Linked DNA regions of Astyanax mexicanus. The protein of the gene in region 2 purifies or fractionates together with the protein of the main gene of each other region. This does not show direct contact. Links are inferred from orthologs where the notes say so. Each region holds a gene or a part of one and is shown on either strand. Other genes may lie near its edges.

The links.
Region 1: the proteins of blnk (region 2) and syk purify together in Homo sapiens (affinity purification with western blotting; 3 studies listed by BioGRID and IntAct, with this or other methods). This does not show direct contact. The link is inferred for Astyanax mexicanus from reciprocal best matches to the Homo sapiens genes BLNK and SYK.

Annotation. Positions count from the first base shown.
Region 1 is NC_064427.1:26,190,969-26,198,410, reverse strand, and holds the start of syk (tyrosine-protein kinase SYK), read right to left. Parts: upstream 3,027-7,442; 5' UTR 3,003-3,026; intron 1-3,002. UniProt on the Homo sapiens protein: Non-receptor tyrosine kinase which mediates signal transduction downstream of a variety of transmembrane receptors including classical immunoreceptors like the B-cell receptor (BCR).
Region 2 is NC_064414.1:41,074,829-41,081,833, reverse strand, and holds the start of blnk (B-cell linker protein), read right to left. Parts: upstream 3,024-7,005; 5' UTR 2,963-3,023; coding exon 2,894-2,962; intron 2,468-2,893; coding exon 2,405-2,467; intron 1-2,404. UniProt on the Homo sapiens protein: Functions as a central linker protein, downstream of the B-cell receptor (BCR), bridging the SYK kinase to a multitude of signaling pathways and regulating biological outcomes of B-cell function and development.

The sequences.
Region 1 (7,442 bases), on a different chromosome or scaffold from region 2:
CTACAAGAACACAAATGAAAGGATGGGGAATAATGTGGAGAGGGTTCAATTACACAGAGATAATCACTCATATTCTGTATCTCTGTTTCTTTTGTTCTTCTTTTATTCTATCTCTCTGTGCCGTCACAGACCACAAAGCATGTCTGTTCCATTCCCCAGATCAGCAGCAGAACTGGAAAAAGGAGACAGACCTGTTCAGGGACAGAACGTATTAAAGAAAAAAAAGGGTCTCTGAGTTTATGACCTGACTAAATGAGAAAGTGCAGAATGGAAAAAGAGAAATAGTGGAGGCCAGAGGGTGGTGGAGGAGGTGATGTGGGACGTTTCAGAGCGTTCAGAATCCAGAAGCTCTCCACGCATCACTTCAAGAACACAGTGTACTACAAGGATGGTTTAAAGGTATAGAGAGTTAAATGGATTATTAGGGAGTTTATAACAGCAATAAATTGTTCAGTGTGTGACCTCAAGATGCCCGTTAACGTTTTTAACACAGCGTGGACTCAAGCTGCATTGACTCTACAGGTTTGTGTAAAAAAAGGTCAGTTACTAGGACATCGCCTGTTCGAATCCTGTTTATGTAGCTTGCTATCGGCTGCCGGAGACCTAAGATTTTGATAACGGCAACATACATCATAATTCTAGACCACTTGGGTTGGCCCATTCATAGTTCGTCCTAAAATGTTCATCGAAGGTAAAAAGTAAAGGTAAAAATTGGTGGTGTGATGAGGTTTTGATAAGACAGCAGTGACACGTATATTTGTGAAGCTCTCTGTATAATGTAATGTCTCTATCACTCTCTGAATAAGGCAATCTAACAAAGTCATTTTAGGAAAGTGCTCAGCGCTGAGTGTCCCTGTAGAGAATCTTCTGGCCTCATGTAAAATTCATGCATTCAAATTGAGGCAGTAATATAAAATGCAATAACTTTCCATCCCTTCACAAAAATATGTAAAAATATTTGTCTGAGTCCAGAATAACCTCAGAGCGAAGAGCAATCTCAGAGACGCGTCCAATTTTAGCCAAACCCCAAAATATTCATTAAACCTTGATGACTGTCATTTTGGTGTTGGGTTTATTCATTGTCTGCATGCCTCATCAAACACTACAAACTACAATATCTCTCTCTTTCTCTCTCTCTCTCTCTCTCTCTCTCTCTCTCTCGCTCTCTCTCTCTCTCTCTCTATCTATCTCTTGCTAGCAGAGCAGAGCAGGTATTGTCTGTAGTGGTGGGTTGTTCTCAGCACTGCAGATTGGACACTGGTATGATGGTGGTTTTAGTAGTGTGTGTTGTGCTGGTACAAGTGTTCAGACACAGCAATGCTGCTGGAGTTTTTAAACACCATTTGTTTTTAAATGCCATGCACAATTTCAGAAATGCTATGTTCAATACATCTGGCCTTCAGAACACGACCTTGCTCAACTCAAATTCCATTCTATCTATCTATCTATCTATCTATCTATCTATCTATCTATCTATCTATCTATCTATCTATCTATCTATCTATCTATCTATCTGTCTGTTTGTCTGTCTGTCTGTCTGTCTGTCTGACTACACTGCAAAAAACTAAATCTTAGCAAGTGAAAATTTCTAAATTTAAGGCAATAAAACTTATTTTCTTCTCTGATAAGACTTTTTGTCTTACTAAGTGTTAGATTATTTTGCTTATTTTATATTTATCTATCTATCTATCATATAATAGACATGATTGTGTCATTCCTTACATTGTCAGTCTGCACACATTAAAGACTCCAACTCCCAGCATGCACTTACACCTTCCGGACTCTGCTGATCATATGATGCTACAGTGTTCTAACTCGCCAAGCTTCTGATTACACACATCTGGACCTGTTAATATAATTACCTTTATGTTTTTGTTCCTTGTTGCCTGGTATTGCATTTATTTCCTAGCTCTTTTACCTTGCATTTCATTTGTTTCATTGTATGACCCATTTTGCCTGCTCTCTCCCTGGTATATTGTTTACTATTGCTGCCACTTTGTTACTGTCCCTGCCATTCTAGTCTTTGAGATTAGCTTGTGTATCTGTTTCTTGATACTGTGTAAAAAATTACCCTGCTATCCTTGTGCAAGTCAATTTTCCCATTCCACTGGAAAATTAATCCAGCATAAAGACATACTTTGTAGTAAAAAAAAGGTAACTTACTCTTCTGCCCTACAACTCTGTGACCAAGCAGTCAACCATTAAAAAAATTAAATATACTGTAACTGACTACCCCAATACATACTCAAATATGTGTGTTCTCTATCCAAATAAATTGTTAATTTTATAAAACACAATAAAATTATGTAACACAGATTTTACTCCAAATTCCTCTTTCAGTTGCTTATTCAACTATTTTGTGTAAATGTTACACAATTAACAACCCTATGAATATATTTTTTTACAGTGTAGCTTTTTGGCCAAATGCTATCCCTAATGCTATCGCTATAACAAGTAGGCAACATTAAGAAATTGTCCAGAGAGAATAAGTGGGCATCTCCCACGCCAGCCATCATTCTGCCCTGCTTTCTGGCCAGCCAATCACAGCAGCTGATAACAACCTCCCACAGACCGAGAAAAATGGAGACGGACAGAGAGGAGAGTGAAAGAGACAGAGAGAGACAGAGAGAGAGACAGAGTTTGTCCCAGGAGACTGAGCTTCCTCTCTATGCATAGTGTATTACAACAGTATTAGCATTAGCAAACACAGCAGTCCTACACTACAGGGTGGGCTGTGCACCTCCAGCAACCCAGCGTGATGCACCTCCCTCCTTAGATCATTCCTACTGGAGCCCAGCAGCAAACTCAACCCCCCTCCGTACCCTCCCAGCCAGCCCATGCACAAACAAACACACACACACTTGCAGATCCGAACTTCCGAACATCCGAAATCCAGACACAACATCTATAACAGCTAAAAGATCCGGTACAGTAAGAGAAGCAGCAGCCGAGCACAAGCACGCTGTAGGCTGTAGGCCCGAGGCACCTTCTTGTTCCCCTACCTGCGTGATCTCGGTCGCACGTGAGCTCTTGGCCTACATCCAGACACATCCACGCGCAGCTCTGTGAACATCACAGGCTCCTCTTCACACACTGCGTGAAGCTCAGCTCGCCTCACGCTCTCTGGGGCTATAATTGGATCGTGGCTCAGTCGTGCAGAGGAACCCACCGTCTTGAAAGGAGGCTCTTTTTTCTTTTATTATTTGAAAACATGCATTCTCAGGGTATGTTCCAGTTTGGAGGCACGCCCTCGCCGGCGGTGGCCCGCTTTCACGTTTCACGATCCAAGATCGGTGTGTTTTTTCAGTTTTTTTGGTGCTTGGCTGCGGGTGATAAAAAGGTGTTGAGCCATCTGCTCTGGAGGAGGCGCACTCTGCAAAAATAACTCAAAAAAAAATGACTTGATGATTTAGTTTCCCTAAAGAAAATTTAAAAACTTTATATTGACAGACTACTATTTACTGCCACATTCCATCTATCTAGGAACTACAGGGGTTGAACAATGAAACTGAAACACCTGTCACACCTTTTAGTGTGGGAGGTTTCAGGGCTAAATTAGACCAGCCTGGTGGCCAATCTTCATTAATTGCACATTACTGCACCAGTAAGAGCAGAGTGTGAAGGTTCAATTAGCAGGGTAAGAGCACAGTTTTGCTCAAAATATTGCAATGCACACAACATTATGGGTGGCATACTAGACTTCAAAAGAGAACAAATTGTTGGTGCACGTCTTGCTGGAGCATCTGTGACCATGACAGCAAGTCTTTGTGATGTATCAAGAGCCACGGTATCCAGGGTAATGTCAGCATACCACCAAGAAGGACCAACCACATCCAACAGGATTAACTGTGGACGCAAGAGGAAGCTGTCTGAAAGGGATGTTTGAGTGCTAACTCGGATTGTATCCAAAAAACATTAAAATAAAAACACGGCTGCCCAAATCACGGCAGAATTCAATTTCCACCAGAACTGTCCGTCGGGACAATAAATGATTGTGGTCTAAAACCAGGTGTTTCAGTTTCATTGTCCAACCTGTACACCATGTTCCAAATTATTATGCAAATTGGATTTAAGTGTGACAAAGATTTTTTTTTTGTTTCTCAATTAAACCCATGGATGGTATTGTGTCTCACGGCTCTTTGGATCACTGAAATCAATCTCAGACACCTGTGATAATTAGATAATTAGTTAGCCAGGTGAGCCCAATTTAAGGAACACTACTTAAGAAGGATTCCACATTATTATTTTTATTAAGCAGGCCACAGGTTTTAAGCAACATGGGAAAGATAAGGGATCTCTCTGCTGCCAAAAAGCATCAAATAGTGCAATGCCTTGGACAAGGTATGAAAACATTAGTTTTTCACGTAAACTTAAGCGTGATTATCGTACTTTGAAAAGATTTGTGGCTGATTCAGAGCACAGACGGGTTCGTGCAGATAAAGGCAAAATGAGGAAGGTTTCTGCCAGACAAGTTCATTGGATTAAGAGAGAAGCTGCTGATGCCTCTGGAGTCCCACGAACCTCAAGGTGTAGGATCCTTCAAAGGCTTGCTGTGGTGCATAAACCTAGAAGCTAGAAACATATTAGAAACTAAAAAACGCTGCCCTGATCTGTGGGATATGCATATAGGGCATATGGTCCTGCTCTAACCTGCAACCCATCTCAGCCACCCACACTTGAGAAGATGGGATTAATTGCTCATGGTACAGTATGAGCAGTCAATTACAAATACCTACCGAAGGCTGGAATGGAAATAACCTTTTTATACAAACTTGGTATAGCATCATCATTGGATTCTTTTTTAGTTGATCCAAGTTTCACTCTATAGAAGTCCGAGCACCAGCTTAGAGAGTCTGTCAATGTCTGTGTAGAAATGCACTGTGGAGTTCAAAGTGGAATGAATAGAACTCGAGAGAGAGTTATCCAGTTAGTGTTATGAAAAGGCTTTTTTGCTGCTTCACCTAGTGGGCATGTTAGTTTTACACATTCTACAAGCATTCTTTCTTTTTAAAAGATTGATGAAGCAGAAGCAGTGTACCAAATGAAGCACAACATTGGCTCAAATGAGTGTATGCATCCATGAGCATGCTTGGTAGTTTAATTTAGTGCCCTATTTTAGCGATCTAAAGGTGAGCCGTCAACTGTGCACCATGCAGCTTGATTAAGGACGTGTCAGTGTTTCTTTGCTATCATAACGTTGGGAAAAGTACTCCTTGCACGGCTCGAAACACTCAAAAGACATGTATTAATTATCTCAATTAATCGTGGGTGTGTTTTGGGTGTAATGTGGAACAAACCAATCAGTGTCTCACTTACTATTTTCTTTAAGAGCCAGGTATGCTCTGACTTTGGTGGATTGCTATTTTAAAGGTGGAGCTACCTTGACGTGTCCAGCATGTCTAAGCAGAGGAAACTGATTTACTCGCTCATGCTCTAAAGGTGCGTGAGTAGGTCATTAATGGGAACAGCAATATATATTTTTTGGATTCTGTTTATTGTTGGTGTAAAAGTTGGGTTTGTGCACTGATGCATGTCCTTGTGTGTGTGTGTGTGTGTGTGTAATGTGCAGGGGTGTACAAGCATTGTGCAAGCACAGTGCACCTGTTGCCAAGATAACAATGAAAGTCGTACTGTTTACGTTTATCTGACATTTTTTTCTGTCACTGGGGTACCTGTGTTTTCTATTGCCAAGATAGCAATACGCAAGACATTTAACTAAACACACCTTATTTTGGGACCACCACACCTATCTGCATAGATATATATTTACTAGCTCCATTGCTATTTATACTGTTGGCAGGGTGTAAGATAGCAAGAAGCAGTAGGTTGAAAGATAGGGCCCAAAGAAGCCTCCCATAGAGCTGCTGTATCTCTTAACCTAAAAACCTCAGAATTGCCTAATTAGAGGAATTCTGGCCAATCACATATTTTTTTATAAACCAGACAATACTAATACATAGTCAATCAATTTACATTTAATTTTAAATTAAAATTATCATTTAGAAAATTGCTAATAATTCTCCACACAAGGCTTTTGGTGCTTCACATCAATGTCACTGCGTGTCTCTGTTAGCTTAATTAGTTCTGAATTAAACTACGCTTCAATAATAACACAAAATAAGGTTGGAATGATCGGTTCATTTATTTTACAATGGGTCAGAGCCACCTCGGTTCCAATTCACTCTGAAGACAAGATTTGGTCAGGCTGTTATATAACACAGAATGATTCAGATTCACTGAGGCTTAGAAATAATTTTAAAGGTGGTCTGAAGTGGGTCTTTTCAAGCTGTGCTTTTTTCCGTAATTTCATTTGCACTGCAGGTCACAAGAACTCAATAAGCTCCTTCTGCAATTGCTAGAACATTCAGATCCAGTCTGCAGCACAGTTCAGGGAAAAAATATGAGTATGCTCTGAACCTCTTAACACCTCGGAAGATCCTAAAGTAGCTAATTAATTGAAAGGATGAATCACTGACAGGATTGAATGACTTAAGGTGTTGTAAACTCTACAGTGACGTTCATCTCAACAGCAGTCTCACCTTAGAATCGACAGCATGGAACAATTTCAAACATGGGAAAGTGAATCACTACATGGACATGGCTTCCGAAAATAGCAAACTAATTAATAAACTAGTTAAAGGTCTCCTTCTGCTAAAATCCACCTTTTTCTTGTTCTTTGTGAAATACAAAAGGTCTCTCTGAGTTGTATATGAATGCTGCGCTTGAAACTGTTCTTGTGAACACCACCAGCGAAGTACAATTGAGACAGATAGGTGTATGTTTAAAACAGTTCTGCTTAAAATAAACTAGTTAAAATAAAATCCACCCCAGGGGTTTGTTCCAACTGACTGGGTGGCTCTGCTGCGGCTCAGCCAACCCTGGGGTGGATTTTTACTTTTTGAACTTGGACTACCCACCTCTGTGTAAATAACTATGTTTACATAGGATCTCCGGTGGATTTGCCGTTTTACAGAGACTCTAAGACTAGGTCAGTGGCTGAACTGCACTTAGCAGGGCATTACACATGTTGTAAAGTAACATATGACGTTGCAAAGACTGTTATTAGTGTAAAAATGTCTTTATTTTAAAACGTTTTAACTGTTGTCCGTCTCACTGCCTCGCAGTGCTGTTACCCAATCAGAGGCGATATGTTAGTATGAATTTGAATGAATATTCATGAGCAAGAGCCACAATCCTGTTAAGTGTTATACCGGATCACTGGAGCACTTTTTTTCACAAAAAAACAGCTTACATTGCTTTCATTTACATAAGAGACGACAACTAGACATTTTAAAATTAAGGACAAAACGATGGAATGAGACCTTTAAAGCAGAAGTTCTTAAGAATCTTAAGATTTCTTTTCTTTTACACTGAAAGCAGAAGAATTCTTAAGCTATGATGAGACAGAATATTCTAATTAATGATATCAGTGTCCTAAAACA
Region 2 (7,005 bases):
AGAGCTTCTTTAAATCTGAATTAAGTCATTTCACCTCATAGACCAAGCACTTCCCTAATTTCACTTTTTGTGTTGTGCTGCATTCTCAGCCTAATTTGCATGTCTGACCAAACCAACTGACCAGTTCACATTTGAATAAATCAGACAGATTTTATGGTAAAGCGTTTATCGCAGGAAAGGGTTATGACAGGGTGTTTTAGTGACTTCATCATAAAAGCCCATGTGTTACACATTTCCTAGCAGAGGAAGTGCCATTATTCTGTCATCTCACTTCCCTAATCACACTCTTTTTTTTACTTTTTCACAACTTTTATCTTTTTTTAATTCTCATCACCTGTAATGATCTATCAGTGACTTCCCTGCTAACGAACACTTTCATCTTTCATAATCCTTTGAACATTAAAGAGACTGAAGTTGAGGTAAGATTAGCTGGTGACAAGATTAATTAGGAATTGGTAGCAGATCTTGTTTTTTTCTGTTGATAAAAAAAAATCAAACTTTGATATTTTATAAAGAAACAAACTGAAAATGAAACATTTAGCTAAACCTCCGTGATCCGTTTCTGTTCTGTTGTGTAATTTTAACCTGCCGAGGCCTGATAAAGGCACTGACTGAATAACAACACAGAGTACAAACAGTGTGTGTACTGTGGGTAAGCTTTATATATTAATCTAAAGGGATTGGGAGCAAGGTATTGCCATTTTTCTAAAATGTAACTACACCCCTTAGGGGAAATGTAGTGCAGGAAAATTGAATTCATCTTACAAAATGTAATGGAGTAGACAAGTGTAGTCAAGTCCTCAGGGACCAGTCAGTCCCCATTTCTACTCTATCATAGTTCCAGCACATCTGTAGCAGAAACTCTGGGTTTTTGTTCATTTGGTTCAGGGAAATGGAAAAGTAGCAAATCCCAATTAGTACTGCATGTCTTATATTGATTGTTAACCACGTTAGCATGCATGATCTTTTGTGAGTGTTCTTTAAATGAAAGTCCAGTCTGGTATTTTACACCGCTGTATTGCTGTTTAATTAAATTAAACTTTATCGGTATTATACTCATACTGGGTTGTACAGTACAAGTTCTCCAGAACAGAGGACAAAAGTGCAAAGATAGACATTAGATGCATAAATACTATTTACGAACAAAAGTCTTCATTTGAAATGTATGTAAACAGAAAATAGATATTTGCATGAATTTGACCATATATATATATATATACTCCTCTTAAAAAGAAAAAGAGATCACTTCAGTTTCTGAATCAGTTTCTCTGATTTTGCTATTTATAGGTATATGTTTGAGTAAAATGAACATTGTTGTTTCATTCTATAAACTACAGACAACATTTCTCCCAAATTACAAATAAAAATATTGTCATTTAGAGCATTTATTTGCAGAAAATGAGAAATGGCTGATATTAACACAACAGATGCAGAGCTTTCAGACCTTCTTAGCATGTTCTCCTCCACCAGTCTTACACTCTGCTTTTGGATAAATTTAGGCCACTCATGGTGCAAAAATTCAAAAATTCATCATGAATGGGCCCCGCACATAAGCCTGCAAGGTAAGAGGCCTTGCGGACGGCCAAAGAAGTGGTGGATGGACCAGATAAGAGAAGACATGTAATACGCATGCGTCGCCCTTGAAAGCGCCCTGCATCGAACAAAATGATGACGAGCATCCAAACACACGGACCCCACCCTCGAGTGGGACTAAATACGAGGAGGAAGAAGAAGAAGATTCGCTGTTACTGGGCTCAAGCCTTTTATCTTAAAAAAATTAAGCTCTCAAATTCAGTGCAGAGCAGCTTCTCTTCACCTGACTCCAAACTGCAGCTCTGATTCAAACACACTTATCAGCTTCCTGCTCTGTCTGATGCTCCAAAATGACAAAAACAACAAAACCAGGGGATTTAATTGCCCAGATGATATTTAAGTGTAGATTATACTGATATTAATCAAGTAAATATGTACTATGTTGTGTTTGGGCACTTGTGGAGACTTGTGAGTGAGTGGGGAGGGGGGGGTGGACAACTCAGATTATTTCAGGTTAGATAGTATAAATCGTATTATTTGATAAGATACGTACACATAGCATGTTAACACTTCTCAGTAAAGGTATATAGGACGGTAATAAACATTTTTTTATTATTAACTGACATTAGTTAACATATTTTTTAATATGTTCATTACAATATAATTTAACTGCTTATGTTTTATATAAATATTGAGTTCATTAAATTGTTACTATTATTAATACTGTCTCAACTAGTGTCAATTAATGCCTAGATGAGACATTCTGTTGTAAGTACAGTACATAACTGTTAAGTAATGTAGTCTTATTGTAAAGTGTTAGAAAGCTTAATTAGCCCCATTTAGCACCATGTAGTCATTTATTTCTTCTTACCAGAAACCAGCGGCCATCAATCTTCATCCTCTGTACTGTTAAAGCACACTCTCGCATCTTGTTCTGTTCGAAAAATATAAATAATATTGCACCTCTGTAACAGTTCTTAAACCACACACACACTCACACACATGCACACACCATATTTAAAATGCAGTTCACGTGTGGTGAAAGCTCGGGCTGTGCTCAATGTGCTTATCTGTTCTCTCATCTGTGAAAGGGAAACAAGCTTGACTTTCTATAACCACTAATTTTGCGTATAGTTAAAGGTCAGGACAGTTGTTAACACACTTAAATAAGAGTATATTATATGGTTAAGTATCTTCTGTTAGTTTATTAAGTGTGTTTTTAGTAAAGGAAAGTACAGTCCCTATGTTATCTGACTGCGTGTTACAGATGTGTCAGATAGAGATTGTGTTGAAAATGCTGCAGAATGTTCAGCACAGTTCCTGAGGAGAAATCCTAAAGACCACTTCTCTGATCTCTTACCTGAGTCAGGAAAAGGGCCACCTGAGCCGGACCCCAGTCCTCAAACTGCTCCCTGGTCGGCAGACTCATCTCAGCCTCGGCTACTCCACTAACGCTGCGTGAACTGCTCTGACAGGAACTGCCGGACAGGAGGTGCTGATTGTAAGTATGCTGCAACCAAGCTTGACATAATGTGGGAAGTGTGGGAAGTTCCTCTTGCCTCTATGCTCGTCTGTCTTTCTGTCCATCTGTCTGTACGTCTACTAAATTCTCTTTCTTTTTCTCTCTCTTTATATCTAGGAGTTTCCAGCTGTTGCATGTAGTGTTGTCCTGACTTGCACAATCCACTGCTTTAGCATTCATTCATGAAGAAAGATGGAGGGTCATCCTCTGGAGGATTATTAGAAACTGTCTGCACAACTTTATTTATTTATTAACAATATGGTTTTATCCTATAAACTATATATAACTACGGATAACCCTGGTTTTTAATCTCAGTTCTCATGCATTTTGGCATGTTCTCCTCCACCAGTCTTACACACTGCTTTTACATAACTTTATGTCACTCCTGGTGCAAAAATTCAAGCAGTCCAGATTGGTTTGTTGGCTTGTGATGATCCCAATTTTTAAGTGGTCTAAAATTTTTTTCCAGAGCTGTATATAAATACACAACAACTAAAATGTGTTAAATTGAATCTCACATGAAATAAAAACTGCCTGCACCACTTTATTTATGTATATAATTTGGTTTTATTCTATAAACTATAACACTGGATAACGCTGTTTTTTAATCACAGTTTTCATGTATCTTGGCATGTTCTCCTCCACCAGTCTTACACCCTGCTTTTAGATAACCTTATGTCATTCCTGGTGCAAAAAGTCAAGCAGTTTAGCTTGGTTTGATGGCTTGTGATCATCCATCTTCCTCTTGATTATATTCCAGATGCTTTCAATTTGGTCATTATTTTTAAGTGGTCTCTATTTTTTTTCCAGAGCTGTATATAAATACACAACAACCAAAATGTGTTTAATTAAAACTCACATTAAAGTAAAATGAATATTTTCATTGGTGAATTTAATGTATAAAACATAACATTTAACAACACAAGAGTTTATATTTTAGACTTTATTTAACATCCTCTTCCTGTATGACGTAATATATAATCATTGTTAACACATTATTTAATCCACACATAAAACAGATCTCTAAAGTGTTCATTTAAGCTAACAATGTTTTTTTTTTTGGTTAGTAGAACATTTTCTGAACATTTTAGTTAACATTCTTTAAACATTTTATCTGTCAAGTATTTTGGATGTTCTTATAACATTTTTAAACGTTCTGGTAACGTTGCTGAAACAACACTGTCAATGTTTTAATTTTAAGCTTTGGCAATGCTACTTTTAGTAAGGTTTCCATCTAGCTTGGAACATTATATGATAAATGTTCTAATAACATTGTGATGCAAACCATTATTTTGGTCACACGTTTTCAGACCTTTTCTAGAAAATAATTTCTCTAACCTTCCTGGAACCTTTTCAAAACCTTGCTAAACAATCTTAGAATTTTCTCTTTAAGCTGTTTTTTTATTTACTTTTGTATTCTATTATTGTCCATTTGTTAACACACACCCTGTTACATTTCCAAAACTATAAAAGACAGTTCCCACGAGAAATACATACAATCAAATGAAAATGCTGAGTAAATGATTAGAAGGTTATGAAAGAAGTTAGTTATTTAAGCCAAGCAAACTTTATTTAGTTTTTTTTTGTTTGTTTAAATATTAAAGAAACATAATGCAAAAAATAATAAATCCTGCACCTACTGTTACTACTGTTTACTATTGTTTTTGTTTTATTCTATAAGCTATGGATAACATTTTTACCTTGATCAGTTTTCATGCATCTTGGCATGTTCTCCTCCAACAGTCTTACACACTGCTTTTGGATAATTTTATGCCACTCCTGGTGAAAAAATTCAAGAAGTTCAGCTTGGTTTGATGGCTTGTGATAATCCATCTTCCTCTTAATTATACTCCAGATGTTTTTAATTTGGTAAAATAAAAGAAACTCATCTTTTTTAAGTGGTCTAATTTTTTTCCCAGAGCTGTATATATACACCACAACTAAGATGTGTTTAAATAAAAATTAATAAACTAAAATAAAATATAAAATAAAGTAATTGATTTATTTAAGGTTGATTTCAAATGGTTAATATATGCACAGAAGTGTACTATGGTAGATTTTTTCCCTTTTAAAGCTCCATACCACCAATATGAGAATGGGAAACGAAAGGCACAGCATGGTATCGGACGCTCGCTCTCTAAACGCTCATTTCACGCTCAGATGCAGAAGTGAGCACATTGAGGTAGAGAGTGGAACACATAGAGCAGAAATATACCTGACTTCTAAGCAAGTCTATATTGGTGCTTTCACTTCTGATCAGGGCTGAGTGACCACAAGAGCTGAGGCATTAAAATGAGCAGCATGCTCTGGGTTACTGTTTAAAAATAAAAATAACTATAGCCACTTCTAAAATCCCCCTGTTGTTTATTTTAACACATATGAGATAAAGGTCAGGGTGTTAAAAGTGATAAAGTAAACTGTGAATTTAATTTCAATTTTAAAAAATTGCCATCGTTTATAGACATTTTAGAATTGTAGACTAAAAAAAACACTAAAACAACACTTCAGAATAAATACTTTCTGTAAAGTACATACTGAAATGACAGACATATAATTAGTAGATAAATAATCAGACAGACTGCCATATCCAGAATTGTTTTTTTTTGTATATTTCATACACACATATCTGGATCATTGGTCATCCCATGACAACAAAAAGATAGACAACTGTAACTACATTACAAGTGTATGTAGTACATTTTACTGCATACAACTTTCCACCAGTGGTTGAACAGTAGCATTAGCATTAGCTGCTATTTCCCTGTGCAGAGGTGAGTATTATCAGCCTGTAGCCTGCTGCCAACCCTGGCTTGCACTGCTAGAGCAGTATTGGCATTAGCTGCTATCTGTGCTAGCTATTTCATTGTTCAAAGGTTAGTATATTGGACTGTTGTTTGTGCGTTGTCTACCGTGTTAAAACAGGGTACGTGGGACGAACTGTTTTAGGTGTTCTAGGTGATATTGCCCTGGCTATTACCCGGAACACTCAGGGTTCGTCAGTGTAGCTCAGGCGGCATTAGTCGCTAACCACTAGCAGTTAGCTGTTAATGCTAAGGCTCCAGCCTTAGTACTTGAAAAATTTGGGAATCTAAGCTCACTGTAAATAAACAGAAGCACTTTACTCACCCAAATAAACAGTTTTCAGGAGAGGAATGTGTGTAGATTAACATCCAGTGCTTGTTTGACAGTTTTGTTTACTTAGCTTAGCTTTACTTAACTTAGTTAGCTACCCGCCACCACCACACAGTGGCGAGACCTGCTGAATTAGAAGTTCCTTATAGTGTCTCTTTAAATGCGCCTTATAATCCAGTGCAATTTATGTATTAAAATAGACCAGAAAAATAGACGTTTGTTGATAGTGTGCCTTATAATCCTGTGCGCCTTATAGCGTGAAAAATATGGTAATCTGTTTCATATAGTTCTATAATTACAGACTGTAGTCCTGTATCTGTTTCTCTGCATATTTTATTATTCTTCTTTCACCCTGTTCTTCAATGCTCAAGACCCCACAGCATCACCCTAGTGCAGGTATCATTTGGATGGTGAATCCTTCTCATCACTGCACTGATACTGACATGGTGGTGGTGTGTTAGTTACTCTGTGTGTTGTGCTGATACAGTACAAGTAGATCAAACACAGCAGTGCTGCTGGAGTTTTTAAACAATGTACCCACTGTGTCACTGTCCACTCTATTATACACTCCTATCTAGCTGCTCCACCTTGTAAATGTAAAGTCAGAGACACTGCCCACAGGATGCTGTTGGCTGGATATTTCTGGTTGGTGGACTATTTTCAGTAAAGCACTGACATTGAGGTGTTTAAAAACTCCAGCAGCACTGCTGTGTCCCATCCACTCATACGAGAACAACACACACTAACACCTCATAAACCACCACCATGTCAGTGTCACTGCAGGGCTGAGAATAATGACCCACCACCCAAAATATCAC